Linked DNA regions of Rattus norvegicus. The protein of the gene in region 1 purifies or fractionates together with the protein of each later gene. This does not show direct contact. Links are inferred from orthologs where the notes say so. Each region holds a gene or a part of one and is shown in the gene's direction. Other genes may lie near its edges. The genes, in order: Ddx39a, Api5 and Thoc1.

The links.
Region 2: the proteins of Ddx39a (region 1) and Api5 fractionate together in Homo sapiens (co-fractionation; 3 studies listed by BioGRID, with this or other methods). This does not show direct contact. The link is inferred for Rattus norvegicus from reciprocal best matches to the Homo sapiens genes DDX39A and API5.
Region 3: the proteins of Ddx39a (region 1) and Thoc1 purify together in Homo sapiens (affinity purification with mass spectrometry; 3 studies listed by BioGRID and IntAct, with this or other methods). This does not show direct contact. The link is inferred for Rattus norvegicus from reciprocal best matches to the Homo sapiens genes DDX39A and THOC1.

What each region holds. Positions count from the first base shown.
Region 1 is NC_086037.1:41,328,707-41,332,462, reverse strand, and holds the start of Ddx39a (ATP-dependent RNA helicase DDX39A), read left to right. Parts: upstream 1-1,049; 5' UTR 1,050-1,348; exon of another isoform or gene 1,349-3,756. UniProt on the Homo sapiens protein: Helicase that plays an essential role in mRNA export and is involved in multiple steps in RNA metabolism including alternative splicing. Regulates nuclear mRNA export to the cytoplasm through association with ECD.
Region 2 is NC_086021.1:100,848,451-100,852,106, reverse strand, and holds part of Api5 (apoptosis inhibitor 5), read left to right. Parts: intron 1-2,817; coding exon 2,818-2,979; intron 2,980-3,656. UniProt on the Homo sapiens protein: Antiapoptotic factor that may have a role in protein assembly. Negatively regulates ACIN1. By binding to ACIN1, it suppresses ACIN1 cleavage from CASP3 and ACIN1-mediated DNA fragmentation. Also known to efficiently suppress E2F1-induced apoptosis.
Region 3 is NC_086036.1:1,289,947-1,292,501, forward strand, and holds the end of Thoc1 (THO complex subunit 1), read left to right. Parts: intron 1-262; coding exon 263-338; intron 339-692; coding exon 693-988; 3' UTR 989-2,010; downstream 2,011-2,555. UniProt on the Homo sapiens protein: Component of the THO subcomplex of the TREX complex which is thought to couple mRNA transcription, processing and nuclear export, and which specifically associates with spliced mRNA and not with unspliced pre-mRNA.

The sequences.
Region 1 (3,756 bases):
GAGAAACCGTCTCAAAAATCAAAGTATTGATTCTGGAGTATTTCAACTGTGAGGCTGGCATACTTCCCCCAATAAGTAAAAAGAAACGTAAGATTAAGACTTTTACCAAAGTAGCAGCTTTTGTTTATGTGAACAAACCAAATTACTCTTTTAGTTTCAATCTCTCCATCCTCAAAGCCCTTTCTGAGCTTCTGCAGGTGAGTCAGTGGATTGAAATGTGGGAGCCAGGGCTTCCGTAGGTGCAGTAGCACATAGCACACAGGCACAGCACACCTTTAATCACAGCGCTCACACCTTTAATCACACGGAGGAAGAGGCAGGCAGATCTCTGAGTTTGAGGCCAGCCTGGTCACAGATGGAGGAATTCCCGGACAGCAGAGGTACTCAGAGAAACTCTATCTCGAAAAGGTACAACCAAACAAAAGAGTCAGGGGTTCTACACCAGCAGGAAAGGGACACTTTAAAAGGGTGGGGCACATACAAGAGCGACTAAGGTGCGGTTGCCAGTACTAAATGTGGCAGCGTCCACTCAGGCCCTCAATTCATCGCACGTGACTGAGCGGGATCGCTGATTGGTCCACTCCCCCCTCGGACACGCCCACTCTACGACTGCCCAATGAACACGAAGCTCTAGGTACGCCCTCTTTCACCCTTTTCACCAATAGCCGGCCGACAGCGTCCTTATAATCCAACCATCATTTCCTCCTCTGTTGAGTGATAAACCAGCTGTCCAGTGAGCAAGACCAGAGTTGGGCTCAAGGAAGGAAGCGTTGTAGCTCGCGTCCAGGGGCGCGGCGTGTACGGGTGGCTCTCTTCGCAGCTCGCGGAGGCGAACCGGGCAACAGGTAAGTGGCGGGTCCCGAGGCCCGGGCTGCGGTGCGGGGCTGTGGGTTCGCCGAAAGGGACGCCGCGGAGCGCGGTGCAGTGGGAAAAGTGGGCGCGCGCGGCGGCGGGACGGTTAGGCACCCCACTGGAGACGGCGGCCGTTGGGTTCCAGTAAGCATGCGCCAGGGGCGGGCCGGCCGTTAGTGCGTTGGCTTCCGGGATCGGTGTCATGGCGGCTCTCGGAGGCCCGCATGTGTACTGTGGTGGGTTTGAGGCACGGGGCGGCTCCAGGCTGCGTTTTCGGTCGCGGGGAGAGGACCCAGGCTTTCTGGGCAGATGCCCCGAGTCTGCACTCACCTGCTTCCCGTCTTGCTCCGCCGCTCTCCCAGGAGATTCACCTCCAGACTCCGAAGCGGAAAGCCGGTGTGGCGGCCCTTAGGCCATTCACCGGGTGTCGTTTTCCCGGTGTGAGGCCGGTTCAGCCAGTTGCATCTCGTCTTCCTGGGCCTGTTTGAAACTTTAGGTCTGTGACAGCCTGGGTTCAGTTATTTCATTTTCCTGATTGAACGAAGGCCTGACGTATTTGGAGGCATACATTCCGAGGTGCACCTCGGAACCTTTTGTGTATCTCGTTTCTTGAGACAGGATCTCTTTACATAATTCTGGCCGTTCTTGAACTTTCTCTGAAGACCAGGTCGGGCTCGAACTTACCGAGATCCACAAGCCTCGGTTCCCGGAACGCTGGTATTAAAGGCGGGTGCCACTATGCCGGGCTTCACATTTATCTTTTAACCAGCACAATAAGAAGTGTTTTTTAAACAATACTGCCTAAAAACAGAGTACACATCTGAGAGGCCCTAAGATAAGTTCTCCTGAAATCGAGGCTGTCCTTGTCGTTTTTTATTTAGGCATATTTATGTGAATGAACACCTGTGGTGTGCAGGTGCTCTTGGATACCGGAAGTACTGTCCCTGGAGTTAGAGGGTTGTTGTGAACTGAGAAACCTAACTCAGGTCTTCTGAAAGAGCATTAAGCACTCTTTTTTTTTTTTCTTTTTTCTTTTTTTCGGAGCTGGGGACCGAACCCAGGGCCTTGCGCTCGCTAGGCAAGCGTTCTACCGCTGAGCTAAATCCCCAACCCCATCATTAAGCACTTTTAAAGCACCCCCTTGCCTGGCCAGTCTTAGAACTTAACTTCTAAGGTTTTTGTTGTTGTTATTGAGACAAGATCTCTCACTATGTAGCCCTGGCTGGCCTGGAACTCAGAGTTCTGCCTGTCCCTGTCTCAGGCATTTAAAAAAATTTTTTTAATATATTCTAGCATTTGGGAACTAGAGACAGGATCTGGAATTCAAGACTAGCCTCAGCTACATAGCAAGTTTGAGGGGCTGCAGGAGACCCAATTTCAAATAAAAATAGGTAGTACATCTAGGCCATTCAAGTGTGATTCTTTTCTCCTCAGGAATGGCTTTGAGCTCTTCGGCATCTCCTCTCTACTTCAGCTCCCCCCACAGCTGATCACCTTTCAGAGGACTGGTTTCTCCCTGCTGCCGTTCTTATCTCCACTTGAGCAAATTCTTAATGAATCACTCAATTCCAAGCCTACTTAGCAGTTCTCCACGACTTAGCAATTTAGCTACACAGGCCCTGGGCCTGTCCAGCTCTCCTGTCCTCTCCTAGCTGTCCTAGCTGTCTCTGCTTTAAACCTTTGCTGGGGTGTAGAGCTTTAATACCTAGTTAAAGCATTTTTTTACTTTGTGTCTGTGTAGGGGTGTGTGCATGTTGATCAGAGGACAATTTGTCAGTTTTCTTCGCTATGTGGATTTGGGGGACTCACAACACAGTGACAAGCCAGATATGATTTAGCTGGAGTATGCCCCCTCTGTCTGCTGTGAGAGTTGTGTAGTGCATAGGGTCAGTGGACATGGAGTAGGCTGTTGGTGTAATACAGACAAAACAGTGTTAATCCAAATGACATCATGTGATAGTATATGCATTTTTACATCCTGTGGCATCAGTACAATCAACTGAAACATAAGCCCTTTAAAAAAGAAAACCTTGGGGCTGGGGATTTAGCTCAGTGGTAGAGCGCTTACCTAGGAAGCGCAAGGCCCTGGGTTCGGTCCCCAGCTCCGAAAAAAAGAGCCAAGAAAAAAAAAAAAGAAAACCTTTTGGTCCCCAGCTCCGAAAAAAAGAGAAAGAAAGAAAACCTTCTGGTGGGCTAGAGAGAGACCGATTAAGAGCACATGATCTTTCAGAGCACCAGGGTTCAATTCACATGATCTCATATTGTTTGGCTATAAAGGGAATGCAGCATTTATTTCCATTGCATTGTGGGTGAGTGTTGAGAATGGTAGATTGAAGGAATCAGAAAGGAAAAGGCCAGGTAATGCTGTCTGAACCTATTTATAGAAAATGCTCAGAAAAGGCTAGTCTGCAGAGACCAGAAACAGATTGTTTCTGGGAGTTAGGCAATGGCTGCAGGCTTTGTGGGTTTGGGTGTGGAGTTCAGGGTTTTTCACATGCTAGGCATTTGTGGCTGAGCCACACCCCAGGCCAGGGGCCTTTTTTTTTTTTTTTTTTTTTTTTAGATTTATTTATTTTGCTTATGTGTTTTGTCTGAATGCATTTATATTCAAAGGGCATGCTTCATGGTCAGAAGGTCAGAAGAGGACTTTGGGTCTCATTGGAACTGGAGTTATGGACAGTTGTGAACCATCATGTGGATGCTGGGAATAATTGAACCTCGGTGCTCTGAATGAAAATGTGCTCTTAATCAGCCATCTCTTCAGGCTATCCAGAAGGTTTTCTTTTTTTAAAGGTGGTGAACTATGTTAGAGTTGATTGTGCGAGCGTGTTTGTGACTCCTGAATTGTGTACTTTGACTGGTGAGTTGTATAGCTTATGACTGTTTTAGTAAAGCTGTTCTGAT
Region 2 (3,656 bases), on another chromosome or scaffold:
TGTGCACACGATGGCAGTTGCTGAGAATTGCAGAGCACTTCACTCCGTCTTCTAGAACTTGTATTCTTTCTACCTTCCCTTCTGTGATGTTCCCTGAGCCTGGGAGATAACTCATCTCCCATGTACTGCTGAGTGTTCAGCAGTCATTTATTCACAGTATTTGACCACATAAGAATCTCTGCTGTTGCTCTTCTCCATTGTAAACAGAAGCTTCTCTGAGCAGTGCCGACAGCGCAGCGCTAACCTACACAGTAAGTATAATTACTTAGGCAGAAATTTGATGAACACGTGTCCATTTAGCAAAATAATAACTGTAGTTTACCCTGTTTGGCCCTATGACCTTCCTTCCCAGCCATAGGATTCAGACCAGGTTCACAGTACCAGCTATGAATTCCATCCTAGGGAGCCAGCCTCAGTTCTAGTCAGAAAGCAGTTAGTTACATACATAACAGATTCACCACTGTTTCTCCAGTGGGGATATCTTGCCTACTGTGTCAAGGGTTCACAACTGATGTGACTGTTGATGACAAGCCTCCCTCTACATCCTGCAGACTCTTTAGCACTCTAAGGACTGGCCAGCAGGAAGGAAGCTTCCAGGCTTATCCTGATTTCTTTATGGCCTGCAACCAAAACATGTGGTCTTATCAGCAGTAAGGCCTTACCACCTAGTTCTGGTGAGCAGTCAACCACAGTGGCAATTATCTGTTGTGTTCAGGGAACTTTAGAGGCTTCCCTGAACAACAGTTCATAGGGAAGGAGCTCACCTTTGGCACTTGGGTTTTTATTTAATTACTTGTATCTTTTAGGGATCTCCAGAAGATACCTCTGCTCAAACTTATTTCTAAATTAGCTTACCAATTACCAGACTCCCTTAGGCTTTTTCATACATCCTTGGTTTTAGTTAAACTCGCTCATCCCCGCTCTCCCCTCTTCCCTATCTCTGTGCCCCACTTCCACATCACATGTTCTATGCCCTCATATACACAGTTTTTTAGGAGAATACATTGATGAAAATGGCTCAAATTGTACCTTACATTTTTCTTGAAGGTATACCTTTAAAGAATTTAGAGTTGTGTTTTATTAATTATTGAAAACATACCAAAACATGATTTTAGAAATGCATCAAAGTATTGATGAGGTGGTTCAGGGGCTCACTTTTTGCTCTTGCCAAGGGAGGACCCTGGTTTAATTCCCAGCACCCGTATGGCTCACAACTATCTTGTTACTCTAGATCTGCTTTTCTGGCCTCTGTGGACACACCACACCACACACATACACACACACACACACACACACACACACACACACACACACACAGAGTATTTACAGTTAATGCTTCTGATACTGTTTTGAGACAGTGTCTCATTGTGTAACTGGCTGGCTAAAACTCACTGTGTTGACACTATGAACTCACGTGGAGCTAACAGCCATGCTGGAAGAGGAATGGGCCGAGCAATGCACTGTTTCTAATATTTTATGCTGGGGATGGTCTGACCTACCACTAAGTCACTGACTGCTGAAGATACTACTTCTGTTTTATTTTCTACATTGGTGACAAGTAGAGGGCTGAAGAGATGTCGGTGCTGGTAAAGAGCCACCCGTACAAGGCCCTGAGCTCAGATACTTAGCACAAACATAAAAGCTCAGCATAGTGGCTTGAGTCTTACCCAGAGCCTGAGCGTTTGGGAGGTGGAAACTGGTGGTCCTTGGAGCTTATTGGCTAGCCTGTCTGTGAGCCCTGGGATCAGCAGGAAGTAATAGAAGGTGGATGACTCAGCAGTTAAGAGCTCCCATTGCTCTTGCAGAGGACCCAGGTTTGGTTCTAGCACCCACATGAGTCAGGCAGCTCACAAGCACCTGTAAAAGTAAGTTCAGCTCCAGGAGATCCCATGCTATCTTCTGACCTCTGCAGTCACCCCACACACATAGCACACACAAACAAAGATGTACACACATATACTTAAGTAAAAATCCATAGCTAAGAAATAAGGTGGAGAGTAGTAGAGGAAGACACCCAATATCATCACCCTCTCCTGTGTGTGTGTGTGCGTTCGTGCGTGCGTGCGTGTGGTTTTGTGTGTGTGTGGTATTGTGTGTATGTGTGTGTATTTCTGACAACATGATCAGTGTCATTTAATGAATGAACCAGCTTGGAGGTAGCTTGTGAGGAGGACTGGGAACTTGTTGAGACTTTATCCAGTTTGAGAGCACTTAAGAATTTATTTGATGGAAACAAGTGGGCTTTAGTGTATTCTCATGTGCGGTGTTAGAATTTGTCTTAATCCAAAATTGACTGGCTATACAATTTGCCACTGCTTTCACATTCTAAAATGAAAGATGAAATTAAACTTTCCTAGAATTATTTAATTTCAGAAATGTGTTCCTTTCACCTTCCATAAAATACTAATTAGAGGCAGGGTCCTGTGGGTGGGAGGCAGGGTGAGACAAGGTCTTGCGTTGCAGCTCAGGCTGTCTTCACACTTACTACCTTCCGCCTTAGCCTCTGGAATGCTAGCATTTCAAGTGTGGGCCACGGCACCTGGCCACAGGTACCTTTTTCTTTTTTGTAAGTAAATGTAACATAACTTTGAAGAGTCTACAGTGTGTCTCCATTTTTAAAGCATGACACTCTCATGGCCTGGACTTAAACTTAGGATCATATTTCTCTTTCCCAGCTGATGTAAAATGGAATGGGCAATAGGGAATAGAGAAAGTAAAAAAGTTGTGTCCAGTTTAAGTAGTAAAACTAGTGTTTATAAACATCTGAAGCATTTGTGCATGTGTGATACATGTTGTTCCTTTTCTTCTTCTTTCCAGCATAAAGATGCCTACCAAGTGATATTGGATGGTGTGAAAGGCGGGACCAAGGAAAAGCGATTAGCAGCTCAGTTTATACCAAAATTCTTTAAGCATTTTCCAGAGCTGGCTGATTCTGCTATCAACGCACAGTTAGACCTCTGTGAGGATGAAGATGTGTCAGTAAGTTTTTGACTGACATTTAAGTAAGCTTTCTATTATCTATGTAAAAGTGACATGATCAAAATAGCAATCATCTCAGTCTATAGTCTCTGTCATTCTATGGTCACATTGTGTCAGACCCAGAGTGAATGCTACAACTGAGAAAACACCAACTGTCACCTTGTAGTTATGAAAAATATGTGGAGTAATAATTATTTATTTTGTTTTTTCATTATCCACTGCTGAAAATGGAATGTATCCAACATCTTTTTGAGATAGTTCCCAGTTCATATGAAATTAGATTGTTAATACAGTTTTTGTACCTTACAAATTTATTATATATGTCATAAGAATAGTTGGTCACTGTATTACCTGTAGCTGATTACCAGATTAAGAATAAAGCCTTTTGGGTTGGGGATTTAGCTCAGTGGTAGAGCACTTGCCTAGCAAGCGCAAGGCCCTGGGTTCGGTCCCCAGCTCCGAAAAAAAGAAAAAAGAAAAAAAATAATAATAAAGCCTTTTCCTATGGTGCAGAATTAACATTTGGCATTGCTAGTTACTTGTGAGGCTTCTAAGGTTTTTTTGGCTATTAGCTCTTATCTTCCTATATGAAATGAGTGAATTACTACCATCTCATGCAGTTTGCTAGATGGAAACTGCATCATTTTTAATATGAGAGCTAGTAATTTGGAGTCTTT
Region 3 (2,555 bases), on another chromosome or scaffold:
TCCTCTTTACTAGTGTTTTACTGTCTTTTGTCAAAAGCAGGATCTAAGAGTAACAGAAGGTCACCTGGCAGAGCCTTCCCCACTGTTTCCTTACAGTATGGTAATGGTGGACATGGTCAATCCCTGTCACCCCTTAGACAGAACTGCCTTAAAGCTTAGGTGTTTGCAAACCTGCCTGCCCATGCTTCTCACTCTTTCTACCTAAGATCTTTTATCTTCAGAAACTGAAGTTCTTTTAAACATTGTTCTTCATTTACTATAGCCCCCTTCTGAAGAAATAAAAACAGGTGAGGATGAAGATGAGGAAGATAATGATGCTTTACTAAAGGAAAATGAAAGTAAGAATTGAATTTTTTTGGCTGTTTTACAAAATTGGAAAAGACTGGGGGATCTTTGTTATTTAATTTGATTTACTTCTCAGTTCTACCATTTTATCTTACTTTTGACTTAAAATAAGTTAAAAACATTGGTCACTTAAAGTCCATTTTATAGAATGAAATTTGGAGATGATAATTTTAAAAGGCAAAGAAGATGGGTGCTTTAAAAGGATGTATACAGTCTATGGAAATTTTCAAGTTTTAAAGTTTTAGGGGATTAGTAACCCACTGGTAATTCTAGCTTTGCTGTTCTTTCCGATATTTTAAATGCACATCTCTATATTTTGCACATAATTTATATCCCCTGTTTTCTAGGTCCTGATGTTCGGCGAGATAAACCTCTAACAGGGGAACAGATAGAGTCATTTGCCAACAAACTTGGTGAGCAGTGGAAGATTTTGGCTCCTTACCTGGAAATTAAAGACTCTGACATTAGGCAGATTGAATGTGACAGTGAGGACATGAAGATGAGAGCCAAACAGCTCCTTGTTGCCTGGCAAGATCAAGAAGGAGTTCACGCAACAACTGATAACCTGATTGGTGCACTGAACAAGTCTGGGTTAAGTGACCTTGCAGAAAGTCTAACTAATGACACTGAAACAAACAGTTAGCTTTCTTTCTTTCTCTCCTTTTTTATTGAACAGTGATTAAGATTTTGTTACCAAGCAGCATTTGATAAAAGGTTCACTGGTTTTGGTAAACAATAAACACTTTTATAACAGCTGTTGTACAGTTAGCTGGTGCTCAAAAAACCACATACCGAACAGGCATTGGAGTATAGGAGGACAGGGTGGGAAAATGGCCAAAGTAAAAGGACCACAAGATCACAGACGACTTTTTGTAAGTATTTTTATAATGAAGTTAAATGAGTACTATTTATGAGTATGTTAGAGTCCTGTCCCAAATTAGTTTCCTGCATGCTATCAGTTATAAAATGTATTCTGAAATCACAAGATGACACTTCTGAAACCTTAGGACTGGAAAGCTGGAAAGCAGAGGATTGGCAAAGGATGGATAGTTTAAGTGTTTTACTGGCAGTCTGCCATGTTTACTCTACTACAGCAAGAGTCCAGACTGATAGCCAGGGGCCCTGCAAACCATTTGCTGTTTGGCCAATACAGAAAATGTTTGCTAGCCTCTAACTTTATGTGAAGTGGAGTCTAAGACCCAACTACTCCTTTAGCTTTATAAAGATTACTTGACATCCTCAAGTCTCTAAACACCCAGGGATTCCTGTCAGTTGACTTGTGAAAATACACTGTATGTAGCAGAGCATGTGCGGTGCTGGCTGAAGGTTCATGTTCTGTTCCCATACAACATTTCCTGTGGGTGTTTGGTGTCTGGTGAAGGTTAAAAGTGTCCTTGCCTGGACCATGCACACTCCACTAGCTGGGGAAGCAGTGGCTGCGCACAGCTCCAGCTTCCTGGTACCCTCTGCACTAAGCAAATTAAGGCATGCTCAGGAACTGAAAGGGAGAATGGATTTTTTGCCTCTTCTCTCTTACATTCAAGGATGCATTCTAAAATACTAAACACCTTATTTAAAACAACACTGGAAATCCAATTTCTACTTTAAAGAATTCTCTTTGGAATGCTTTTCTAGGTCAAATAAACTATCGAGAAGCTTTTTGTATAATAGTTTTTAATTCTCAGTGCACTCTAAACATGGTTTTGGTGTATTTGTTGTAAACCCACCTCACCTGGTTTAGTGGGAAAACACAGGTGCCAAGTTACTTCCTTCTCCAACTAGCCAATGAGACTGAGTAAAACCATTACAGTACACATTCCATGTAAGTTAGCAAACTTTACAAACCTGAAATGCTGGCTTACCCACAGTGTTACAGAGTTATTATCTAATAAAAATCTTGGGTACTTTACAGAGCATTAGAACATATAGTCCAAAATGTCATAATATTCCCAAAATTTTATTATTAATCAACTCAAATCGACCAACTTGCTACAATATTCAACATTTGGTCCTTTCCTTAGATTGCTAAGGAAATTAAGGTTCCTGAAACATAAACAACAGGTATGTGAGGTAATGAAACTGATCACAGAATTCAGTGTCCAAAGGAATTCATCACTTTTACAACTTTGTGTTTCTTTTGAAATAACACTGGCCAACCTAAAGTTTCTTGTATTTTAAATGGATGTTTAACTGCTTAGATTATTAGCTAT